3 linked regions of the Rattus norvegicus genome follow. The protein of the gene in region 1 interacts with the protein of each later gene in a biochemical or structural test. Links are inferred from orthologs where the notes say so. Each region holds a gene or a part of one and is shown on either strand. Other genes may lie near its edges.

Region 1 (4,298 bases):
CCGAGCTGAAGAGACATTTTCATCTATTGACATCTGTTCTGTCCCTCCTTAGAGCTTCTTATCTTTGAGCAATTCCAGTTTTAGAGCAGTCAGGGGCCAACACTGTTGAGGGTCAGCGAGGAGCTGGGTGGGATATGGGAATAAGAGGAACAGACACTGGTTTTGGAGAAGACAGGAGAAAGAATGAAGAAGGGGAGGTTGGAAATGGTTCGGGAGACACGGTGGTCTTAAGAGGCTAGACAACGGCCAAAGCCGCTGAAGGAGCATCTGGAAGGCGGAGATCCGAGTAGAGTTGTTTGTAGGGAGCCGGAATCCCGAGAGGCCAGGGGTGGGGAATGGGCTGGACCCGCTGGGTCCCAGCGAACGCGCTCAACCTACTCCTCTGCGAATTTCTGGGCCAGCCCAGCGCTGCAACCAGTCCCCGCTCCCTCCGGAGAAATTGCCAAATTAAAATGAATCATTTGGCCCATAATGGCCGAGGCGCTTATCGCGGACGGGCGGGCCCGCAGCGGCGCCTTATCTCCGCGGCGCACACGGCCGGAGCTAACGAGGCCGCGGGCGGGAGCGGGATTAGAGCGCGCGGCGATGCGCAGGCGGGGGCTGCCCAACATGGCCACGCGCGCCCCCAGGGCGTAAAACGTGAGCATCCCGGCCTTCTTCCCAGGGACAGGCGACAGCCGTCTCCCGTGGAATTGCCCGTCCGTTTCCTCCGTCCTTCCCCAAGCGCGCCACAGCCTCGGCTCCCTCTCCTCGGTTTCTTCCCGGGGGGCACTTTCCACGACGCCCCTCCGCTGCCCCTCCCGCCGGGGAGACTCTCTTCCTTCCTTCCCCTTTTCCCTTTGCGCAATAGACAGAAAATCGCAAGGCGCTGGCGGCTTCCATTGCTTCTGGGCGGTGTGTGCGGGCGGCCGGGTTGAGAGTGCTTGCGTGAGCGGCAGGCTGCGGTGGATACTCCCCGCGCGGGTTTTTAGCGATAGGTCGTGTGCGGGCGTGTGAAACCCTGCGCTGTTTGGGTGTGGAGATTCCGAGCCCTCTGCGTTTTATTCGTTGTATGTAAATTGCCCCGTTTCTTTTCTCTACGAGGTCGGTCTGGTGTGTCGCGGTGTGTGGCCTTGGACAAAGTGTTAGGCTGGCTTCGTAATGTCCGGCGGGTGCGACCCCCACCCAGTGAGGTTGTGTGTCTGTGAGCCTTTGCGTGTGACTGATGTTACAGTGTCATGTTGGACAGTATGCCGGTCTGCCTACGCCGGCTTGTGGGACAGAGCTGGCGTGTGTTCATCTGCTTCCCTCCTCTGGGGCTGGACCATGTGTGGTCCTGTCCACCAAGAGTCCTGTGCCTGTGTGCCTGTGTCCTTTAGAGGTGCGTTTGCAAATCGCTGGGGGCGGGAGTGGGGGGAGGGCGAGCGAGAGATCGCGGCGCTGGTGGGGGCGTCCACATGGGGGCGGGGAGCGGGATTTCACATTTTATTCCAAATTATGATGTATTCGGGAGCCAGTGTTGGCTCGGATGGATGGACAGAGCCGAGTAGGCGGCAGCTCTGTCCAGAGGCCGTCTGTGCCTTGCTGTTGCGGGGTCCCCTGATGTGTGCGTGGGGGCTTCTTCTAATCTGGAAGATGAACCGCGCTCGCTGAGGCCAGCGTCTTCCCGCCCGCAGCGCCGGGCCTGGATTCGCGCTGCGATCAGGTTTCGCCTATTTCTGGTCAGTTTCGCGGGTGCGTCCGCGGCGGTTGGGAAAGAGGCCGGGAAGGACAATGGGCACACTTTCCAGGTCTGGTGCCAAGGGTGGGGGTCCTCCGGATCATCCTGGGAGACATTTTTTTCAGTCCCTCCCCCATCCCGGTCGGGTCCAAACCCCCTACCGGGGTTAGCTGCCCTAGGAGTCGGCTGACGTTGGAAGGGCCCGTCAGGGCCACCTTAGCAGGACAAGAAAGGATCGCGTTTTTCTCTTTACTGCGATTGTTAATACCTTCGTCATCAACACCATTAACACCCGCTTTTAATTAAAACAGTCGAACAAAAAGCTCACCAGCCCGTCCTTTAGCGTCTTTGGAGGAAGAACAAAGCAGTCCTGTCTTAACGCCCCTCCCTAGCTGTTTTTCTTTTCTTTTTTTCCTTCCCTAACCTGCCAGGTTTGGGGTAGGGAAAGAAAATGAAGAGGTAGTGGGAATAGAGATTCACTTCATAAAACAAACATTAACCTCAGGTAACACCGGGGACGAGTGGACTCTCCGTGTCTCCCCCTCCCCTCCTTCTCTGGGTTAGAAAGGAGAAAGAAAACCTCCCGCACTGAATTGAAACCCAGGGAGGTGGCAGTTCTGAGCTTCCGCCAAAGCCGCAGCAGAGAGAAGGAAGCCTTCGCAATTAACCCAAGACTTCGATGTGCCATTGGATGGTGGACATCTCAGGCAAAACAATTTAAAAAAAAAAAAAGGAGGCGAAAAAATAAAAGCAAACGAAATCCAGCTACCACTCTCTTGGAAGCGGCGTCGGGTCTGCTTTGACCCATCTTCCCCCTTGCTTTGTTCATCTCTGCAAAACACCTTCTGCTAGTCAGAACCCCGAAAAATCGAAACTCTTTTTGCAAAGGTGGTGGAGGAAAAGGTGTAGAGATGCCCTCTTTTATATCTCTTCCTCCATTAGAAAGAAAACAAGGGACCCAACTAAAACAGATATAGCCCTCTCCCTTTCATCCCTGCAGGGAACTAGGACCTTTGGAACCGGATTCTGCCTTCGTTCTGGGCAGGAACTTGATAGATGGGGTCACGAAGAGAATAGGATGAGGGTTCCCTGGTTCTGATCCAGCAACCAAGGCCTGAAGACTCTTTTTTTTTTTTTCTTTTCTTTTCTCCCCATCCCGTCCTCTCCATCCGTATCAAATAGGGAATTACACTTTCGTGCTTTGTCGGCAATCGGAGCAACCCGCATAGAAATGTCCATGCTTGGAAAACAAATTCGGCCATACTGAATTAGACAGATCCGTTAGAGGGTTCGAACGTGTTCTGGGCAGCCTGCCGGGAGAGGCTGTTGTTGTTGGACTAAGTAGTTATTCCTGATTGGTCAGGTGTAGGGTTCATTTTTTTTTTTTTTTAAATCGGGATGTGTTTGGGGGAGGGGGGCTCCAAACACCTGCAAGTTGGAGGCGGAAGGCCGTTTGCTATTCTTTGGGATGGCGGGGCACACGAGGTAATTCCCAGCCATTGACCCCCCATTTTCTCTCTCGCCCTCCCTCTTTCTCTCCACCCCCATCTTTCCTGGAAACTCGCTTTGGGCGCGGCAGACCGCGTAGGACCTCACGGCAAGCTAAGTAACTGCTGGTCTCTCAGCGAGAGCCTGGAAAACACAGCTCCGGGGTCCTACCTCGACCCCTCTCCAGCGGAGGAGTGGAGGTCCTAACCAGCCGGGTCGGTCTCTCTAAATATGCCCCAGGTTAGTTGCGGCCTGGAGTCCTGGGGCGGGGTGGGGTGAGTTTGGGAGGGGGCAGTGTCTGTGGAAATAACACTATTCTGGGTTGTGGACTGGGGTCGGGGAGGCTCAGAACTGAGAAGATTGTCAGGGGTGGGGGTGGGGGAACCAACTTAGGCCAAGAACCCGCTATCTGACTGCCACTAAACTGCCTCAGGCCTCCAGCAGGGCCCTTTCCTTTTTCCGGCCTTGGATAAAACCAGCTGGTTGGATTATGTCCTCCAGGCCGCTCCCATGGTCCCGGTTCCGAGCACATTTCACAAGGCCGGTAACTTTATTGTGGCTATATCCGGGTGGCGTGGGGGCTGCGCTTGGAGCTCCAGACAGGAAAAATGGCCAAGACCATCCCGCTCAGGCCTAAGGCCTTAGCTGTGCTGGACCGCATCTCCACTGCTGTGGTGGCAAAGATAGTGCGTTGCTTACTGGCGGATTAGGTTTTGGTGCAGGCTTTGTGTTTCTCCACCGTGTCTTGCGCATATGAGTGTGGAGGGATGGGAGGCCAGCCAAGTCTAAGGCCGACGCTATTTCTTTTAAAAATGAGTAGATTTAAAAAAAAATCTCCGAGCTATGATTTGGGGTATTAGGAGTTGCTGGAGATGATGCCGCCCAGAAAGGAGCTTTCTGATCCCGTTGTTCAGGTGAATATTGTCACCTGCTGGCATTGGGGCAACTGGAAGGTGAAGATGAGGTTGAGGCTGCAACCTGGGTCTCTGCAGCACAAAGAGCTGTGATGGTCGAGTGCTCCAGTCTAGCCCGAGCCCCCTCCCCTTTCCATTCTCCCTTAATAAAAACAATTGCATAAATGCCGTTAGTGTTAACCCCTGGGCTGCTGGGG
Region 2 (3,572 bases), on another chromosome or scaffold:
TCTGGAGGGCTTTGTTCTAGCTAAGTGCAAATTCTTCCTTTTCAAAGTTGGCTGGTAATAACATCAGCCATCTAGGCATCAAACATGATGGAAGACCTGTGGGTGATTCTGAAAGCCCAATGTAAAACCTTGAGCTATGCAAAGGGAAGAGATTTGATTCTGAACTGGTGCACTTGAACAGGCCAAGGATCTTGGTTAACTTTCAGATATGAGAATATGAGGCTGGAAGCCCTTATGTATACCCTATAGAAAAAAAAAGACTCTAGTGCCCCCCCCCATACACACACCAACAGGGATTCTCTTTCTTGCCCTGGCTGTCCTGGAACTCACTCTGTAACCCAGGCTGGCCTCAGACTCAGAGATCTGCCTGCCTCTGCCTCAAGAATGCTGGGATTTAAAGATGTGTGCCTCCACTGCCCGGCAACCCGGCAACTTCTAGTGTATTATTTAAACTATTTAAGGTCTTAGCCCACGTCACCCGTAACTCTATATACATGAGAGGCTGAGGCAGAAGAACTGTTCCAGACCAGCCTGGGCCTAGTGAGATCTTGTCTTAAAATTTAAAGGGACAGAAAGGACGTGTGAGCTGCCTCAGCTGCTAATGGTGCTTGCCCTGTGTCTGATGACCTGAGTTTGATCCCTAGAACCCACTTGGTGGAGAGAGAACCGGCAGTTCAGGGGCTAAGAGCATCTCCTACTCTTATAGGAGACCCAAGTTGGATGCTTAGCACCCATATTGGGTGGCTCACAACCCTCTGTGACTCCATTGCCAGGGTATCTGATGCCTATGGCCTTCTGGGGCACCTGCCCTTGTGTATATGTACCCACACACATACATACAATTAAAAATAAAATTAAATCCTTAAGAACAATGCAAACAAAAAGAATGGAGAAAGGAATCACAGTGAAGATCACTTACCTAAAGTGACGAGGGACCCGGGTTTGATCGTCAACACCGAAACAACAAACGACACCTAACACTTGACTTGATCATTGTTTTTCTCAAAGAAACTGAGCTTCGAACTTCCTGGTTCTTAAAGAAGGTAATCTTATATTTTGTGCTATAATGGTGGATTTGGCATTAGTATTTAGCTACATATTTACAACGGATGGGTCACCTGAAGATGCTGGAGTGCCCTGTGCACAGCCATTCCCCGAGTCTCACTGTCCCCAACTGTAATGCTGCTGAGCCTCATGGGCACAGGCCAATTGGGCCACAAGGTCACTTGGGAAATGTGCCAAATAAAGATCAGAGGCACAGACGTGTCGCCCAGGGTACCCAAGAGGAAACGCCATCGGACATTCCATCAAAGGAATGAAAGCTAATTTTAATTTGAAAAAAAAAAACCACTAGATTTTTTTTAAAAGTAGGTTTTATTTGAATAATGTTCCAGGAGCACATTAATTATTACAAGTCAACAAGCATTAAGTGTCTCTGTCTCCTATTTGCTATCACAATCCTTTCTCCCGTGCCATTTTCCCTCAGAAAAGTTATTTCTTCTTACATGTAAAACAAAAGTATTCAGGTTCTAGGAAGGCAGAGCAAGCAGAGGGCCCTATGTATGTGTATCTTTAAAATAGTTTTTACTGTTCGTGTGTGTGTGTGTGTGTGTGTGTGTGTGTGTGTGTGAGCACATGCACTTGCTCTCGCTTGCTTGTGTGTATATCTATATGTATGGTTATATATAGAACAACCTGCTGGCGCTTTCTTTCCACCGTGTGTGTCCTGAGGACCACATCAGATCATCAGGCTTGGCGACAAGCACTCTAACCTCATAAGCAGCTTGTGATTCCCAGCATACAACTTCTTAAATCCAAGAACACATCCCTCAGAATCACTGTGAGAACAGAGTGACTTTGGTATCAGTTTAATCGCTTTCCACTCCTTTAGGTCCATCGTGTGGTCCCCTCTTCCACTCTCTTTACTAATTTAATTTTATTCACACTACTTTTGCTACCCTGAAAAAGTATGAAGAAAGAAAAAACAACTATGTCTGCTATCTGTTAAGAATCACACCGTAACCTAGATTTCCTCCCAAAGATTCGTTCGGATCTAGTATTCTTCGAGACGGTGTCTAGTGTAGCCCTGAGCCTCTGGATGATGCTGATGAAATCCTGCTCCTCCAGGTTCCGCCTCAGGATGCGCTGGGATTATGTCCCCACTTTCCATGGCACTGGAGAGGTGACCGTTGGGCCTCTGATAGGTTAGGCCATCCCTCTACCTATGAAGCTCATCTCTAGCCAAAGATTCATGCAGAATGTAAGAAAGAATGCAAAAAACTTCAGTTGGAATAATTAGATATGGATGGAACTTTCGGTTTTGGAAAGAGACAGCAACCTGATGTAATCTCGGTGGCTTTCTTCTTCTTTCTCTTCCTTTGATTCTGTGCAATGGGAAGGGCTTCAGTAGGGTGAATCCAACAGATTATCTGTAGGTTTTAGCACACTGGGTCATCAGATGCTTTGACTATGAGCAGCTCCTTTGGTCCCAAAGTATATTCTTAGGATTTGGCAGTTCCAAAGAAGAAAGGGAGGGAGGGCTGGGAAGACGGAGCAGAGCAGGAAGGGAAGGTGGAAGAAGCAGACAGGATCAGAGGTGCCGACGAGGCAAGGGACCAACACTATCTGCAGGGCCTTGGACACCTCCTGGTATTCTGTCTTCAATTTTTCAGATGCTAAGATCTCTCTATCCCATTCCCATTTTATCCAAGGTTGCCTGTGTCTGTGCAGTCTGAGTTAGGGAGTCTTTTATCCTTATTTCCTGGAAGGAAATGTAGTGAGGTTCCCCACAGAACCCTGAGCATGGAGCAATTCCTGAGACCTTGTGCTTGTCTCCCTTTGGTGAGCTTTTCCTAATGCTTGGCCCCCTCCCCAGGGAACCCGTGGATGAGGTGCTGCAGATCCCCCCATCCCTGCTGACATGTGGTGGCTGCCAGCAGAACATAGGGGACCGCTACTTCCTGAAAGCCATCGACCAGTACTGGCACGAGGATTGCCTCAGCTGTGACCTCTGTGGGTGTCGGCTGGGAGAGGTGGGCCGGCGCCTCTACTACAAGCTGGGACGGAAGCTGTGCAGGCGAGACTATCTCAGGTAAATCCCTCACACTTCTGGGCACATCTGGGTTTGGACACATAGTCTCTGGCTCCCGCTTTGGCTCTGAGGTGTCTGCCTAAGGAGGCTAGGCTGTGGAGGCTGAACCTCCACTGCCTCTTCAGAGAAGCCGTGAGCTCTTCCTTTGCTGTGGCCATGTTTGCAGAGACACATCCCTGCATGGTAAATCACTGAGGTTTTTAAAGGTAAGAGAAGAATAAACACGGAATTCAGAATAAGGACAAAATTCCGTGGGGGCAGGATAGGGTTTGGAGAAGTATACGTAGGGAAATATCAGGGGAACTAAGGGAAGAGAGGGAATTCGCTTATAAGTTTGGGAGTGGGTTCTCATTTGATACTCAATGAACGTATGCATATATGTAGACATTCCTTTGCATGACTCCAATATTGTTGATGAGAACTTTTAAAATAGCATTCTGTTCTTGAGCCCTGAGCACTGAGTTTCCTAGCAGGAGGCTAG
Region 3 (4,100 bases), on another chromosome or scaffold:
CACACTCAAGGTTTATTTATACAGTGGTCTGTGTGAGCTTTTCTGCATCCCTTCCTCCAGTTTAAAATGTCCCTGGATCTACCCGGCCGACCTGGAATACATTTTTTTTTCTCTCATGCTCCGCCTTCCGGAGGCTTGCCCAGGCGGTGACATTTAAAGGCCTCCGCTGGGTTATCTCCGCCCCCTGAGGGCTGCGGATTCTGGTTGTCCCAGTGTCACAGTATGCAGCCGGCTCTGGCGACTGGCTAGTAATATCTGGGTTTTTTGTATCAGATTAGAGCTCCAGACATTAATTTTGGAGTCGGCTTGCTGAAAGTAGCTGCTGAGTGCTCCAGATGGCTGTGTTTAGAAGACCGTGAAAGTGTAAAAATAAGTGGGTAGGAAGGACGAGGCTTTCTGTCATTGTTTTGGTTAATCCTCCAATGGTGGTAATACTACTGCCTTTTCCTTTTCAAATCTCAAAGCCTCCGGTTTCGACCGCTGCGCTGCGCGCCATCTCCGGTCCCGGCCTTGGAACGCTGAGCTTCAGTCTCCAGTGTAAACATTCCACAAAAGGACTGCTAAGGTTCAGCATCCTCGCGCAGGGCGGAATGGTCTCCTTCCTGGACCGGCGCCGTGTCCAATGGCGGCTCCTACCGGCGCCAAGATAGTCCAATCAGATCTTTGGGGGCGGAGCCTGGCCCAGCAGTGTAGTGGGTGGAGTCGGCCTCACTTAAGGACATTTTTACCCCACATTGGTTACTTACCTTCCTAGGGCTATGAGAGAAGCAAAGGTAGTCTTCCAATGCGGGAACCGGCGGAGGCGGGAGCCGATTTGTTAGGCCTGTGGCTGGGGCGGTATGGGGAGGGATATGTGAGACTCTCCAATGAGATGTGACGAGGTACCCTTCTTCCTCCAATAGTATTGGAGCCTGGAGGAGGGATTCGGCAATCAGTCTCCAATAGGCGGGGTTGAGTTAGGGACTCTCCCCGCCAATAGGGGCGTGGAGAAGGTGAGCGGCTTGCTCTCCCCTCCCAGCGAGGGAAGAGGGCGGGAATAGGCCTTTGCGGCACGGTGATTGGCTAAACCATTGACGGATGGGTAATATATCCCGTGGCGGAGCGAGGTTAAGCCTTCCCTCGGCGGGGCGGGCCGGGAGAGTGGGCGGGATTTCCCGGGTAACAGAGAAGCGGCCGCGGCGGTAGAGGCGGCAGAGACGGTTTCTCCATCTTCCCCCCTCCCCTTCCCCCCTTAGAGTTTCCCTCCCTCCCTCCCTCCTTCCCAGTCTGGACACCCAGGCCTGTGACCGCTTCGTAGGCGCAAAGGAGGTTGCCAGTCCGCTCTTGCGGGCCTGTGCCCGCGCCGTTCCGGGGCCTCCGTGCTGGGTGCGAGGCTCACGCCGGGAGCGACGCGCAGGCTGAGTGGCTGGAGCTTTTGCGGTGAGAGCACGCCGCGTCGCGGTCTGCCCAGCAGCTGGGTGGCGGGTAACCCGGGACTGGAGGGCGTGTGTTTTTCGGGGGGGCTGACCTCGGCTTCCCGTGCGTGGCTGTGGGGGGCGGAGCGGAGCCGCACTCAGTGCGGGAGGGGGAGGAGAGCGTAGTCCCGGTGCGCACGGAGGGGCGGGCCCTAGTCCCGCCGATCAGAGGCGGGGCCGGCGCGCGTGCGGTGGTGGAGAAAGGGGCGGGGCGGGCTGGGACTAAAGGCCCGCGGCCGTGGCCCCGCCCCTTCTCCCCTTGTGGGCGGGGACACGGGTTGTACTGCTTTGGGTCCGCGGGGTGTGCGGGACGAGAAGAGGGTCCCGGCGTGTGGCTTTTAGGGCGCGGCGGCGAGGGGGCGTGAAGCCTGTGTTCCCCCGCCTTAGCGGGATCCGGTTGGCCGGAAGGCGCGTCCGGGGCTGTGATGCCACGCCCCTCCCGCCCCGCCCCCGCCGGGATTTCCGCCTCCTTAGCTGTGAAGCATAGCTGGGGAAAGCCCGCTGTAGCGTCTGGCAGGGGTCAGGGTTCCGTGTCTGCCCCGCCCTGCGTCCCTGTAGGTGGGAAGGCCGCTTGTAGACTGGGAGCGGTGGAGGTGTCCCGACTTTCTGCTGTGGCTTCTCCATCCATTCTGCTTGGGGCATCGTGGCCCGGAGCTGTAGTCTCTACTTTGCTTCACGCATCGTGAATGGCGCCTTAAAAGCTATGGAGAGTAGAAGCGTGGTCAGCTGCTCCTCTTAGTTGTAATTATTGGGACGAGAAACTCAGCGTCCTCTCTGGAGTGTCTGCGGTGGGGTGCGGCTGGTGCTGGGCCCATGCTTCCCCGCCAGTGGCCGGTGGGGGAGGGGCAGCGTACTCAGAGACTGAGATTCTGGAGGGCGCCAACCTTTCCTAGAGTTCCCTTGGTGTTCAGCTACTGTGCCTTAACAGAGCTAAGCTGTGCACCCATGGGTAGATAGCTAAAATTTGCTACCATTTTTGGTACCTCAGGACTTTAAACTCAGTTTGCCGTTCCAGCTCCTTATAAAGCTGAGACTGTATTTCTAGAGAAAGGATTGAATTTACTTCTTAATCTTAAAACTGGTCTTTGGCAGAGATGATATTTGAAGATGATTGTGTGTGTCGGAGTTTATTTAAGGCACATAAGTATTGCTTCACCACTAGGTTATACCCCAGGGCTGATTTTTTTTCCTCTAGTCAGAATTTTTCTTTTTAATTTAAGTAAAATACTTTGATTTCTTGATTTTTTTTTAACCTACAGAAGGTTTTGTTATATAAGCTTAGCTGCACAAAGGTAACTTAAAATTTTGTGTTCTCTTTTAGTTTTATGTAATTGTTAGTCCTTAAAGATCTTTTTAGATGCTAAGTAGGTTGAACCTTATGAAACCTATGTGTAGCATGACCTCCCAACCTGTGTTACTTTGGCCATTGTGGATTTATTGCACAGGTAACCTTATTAGGTGGGTTGGTGTTAGCTGATCTTATTTAGAGAACTTTTTATGAAAAGTAAACACTGAATCCTTAATTTATGTATTGATGTCTGAATGAGTATGTATAAACCACTTTTAAAAAAGATTTATATTAAAGTGTGCGTGCGTGTGTAAGGCCAGAATAGGATGTTAGATCCCCTGTAGGTGGAGTTAACAGGTGGTTATGAGCCACCCGACATGGGTTCTGGGAACCCAACTTAGGTCCTTTTGCACGAGCAGTCTGCAGTCTGTATTGAGCCGTCTCTAACCCCATCGTTTATATGTAATTTCTGAAGCTAAATTCTGGATTTGTCCTTTGTTCAGTAGAGGCTGAAAACCATGCCCTGTGCCGTACATAATGAAGAGGTTAAATATTCACTTTTCAGCTAAAAAAGTGACAACAGCAGTAGTAACAGAATTGAGGTGGAGGCCAAAAGATAAGAACTTGGGTGTCTTACAGATGTAGCACATTGAAAACGGTAGTAGAGAATGCTTAGCCTTTGAGGAAAGTTTGCCTAACCTCAGTTAATTCTACCATTTGAAGCACAGTCTGGGAAATACAGATGACCTAATTCATATCTTTTTTGTTTTTCTTGTTTTGTTTTTAGAAACAAGAGTTTAACTGTAGCCCTGGGTGTCCTGGAGCTCACCCTCTAGACCAGGCTGGACTCAAATTCAAGAGATCTGTCTGCCCCCCAAACGCTGGGATTAAAGGCATGTGCCGCCACTGCTGGGCATAATTCGTACTCTTATAGAATGTGTATTCTAGATTGTGTGCTGGAGTCACAAGTCCTAGGCTTTAAAAATTCAAGAACCTAGTTATATTTGTTTGCTTTTGTTTTTGTTTTTTCTATTTTTACATTTCCATCCATCAGTACTATATGTTTATTTTTACTTACTAGTATCTAAGAGAACCTGAGTTCAGTTTTTAGCACCCATGTCAACATGTATCTGGAGCTCCAAGTACTGACACCTCTGGCCCCTAGGCACCCAGACACAGGTGCATACCCATATATCTATACACGTGTGAAAAAAACAGAAATATAGCTTTGAAAAATGTTAATACTTTTAAATTCAGGCCTTAATAGTTCGCATAAAGAAGTTTTTTTTTCTTCTTTTTTTTAAGACTTGAGATCGGTATTAATTAGATTCCTGGCAAAGCACAGCCATCTTGACAGT

What was found.
Region 2: the proteins of Tal1 (region 1) and Lmo2 form a complex in vitro, tested with the Homo sapiens proteins (2 studies listed by BioGRID). The link is inferred for Rattus norvegicus from reciprocal best matches to the Homo sapiens genes TAL1 and LMO2.
Region 3: the proteins of Tal1 (region 1) and Sin3a form a complex in vitro, tested with the Homo sapiens proteins (2 studies listed by BioGRID). The link is inferred for Rattus norvegicus from reciprocal best matches to the Homo sapiens genes TAL1 and SIN3A.

The regions. Positions count from the first base shown.
Region 1 is NC_086023.1:133,823,035-133,827,332, forward strand, and holds the start of Tal1 (T-cell acute lymphocytic leukemia protein 1), read left to right. Parts: upstream 1-1,429; 5' UTR 1,430-1,700; exon of another isoform or gene 1,701-3,167; coding exon of another isoform or gene 3,168-3,184; intron 3,185-3,278; 5' UTR 3,279-3,427; intron 3,428-4,298. UniProt on the Homo sapiens protein: Implicated in the genesis of hemopoietic malignancies. It may play an important role in hemopoietic differentiation. Serves as a positive regulator of erythroid differentiation.
Region 2 is NC_086021.1:110,824,406-110,827,977, forward strand, and holds part of Lmo2 (rhombotin-2), read left to right. Parts: intron 1-2,875; coding exon 2,876-3,091; intron 3,092-3,572. UniProt on the Homo sapiens protein: Acts with TAL1/SCL to regulate red blood cell development. Also acts with LDB1 to maintain erythroid precursors in an immature state.
Region 3 is NC_086026.1:66,380,501-66,384,600, forward strand, and holds the start of Sin3a (paired amphipathic helix protein Sin3a), read left to right. Parts: upstream 1-1,282; 5' UTR 1,283-1,419; intron 1,420-1,507; exon of another isoform or gene 1,508-1,766; intron 1,767-3,529; exon of another isoform or gene 3,530-3,635; intron 3,636-4,100. UniProt on the Homo sapiens protein: Acts as a transcriptional repressor. Corepressor for REST. Interacts with MXI1 to repress MYC responsive genes and antagonize MYC oncogenic activities. Also interacts with MXD1-MAX heterodimers to repress transcription by tethering SIN3A to DNA.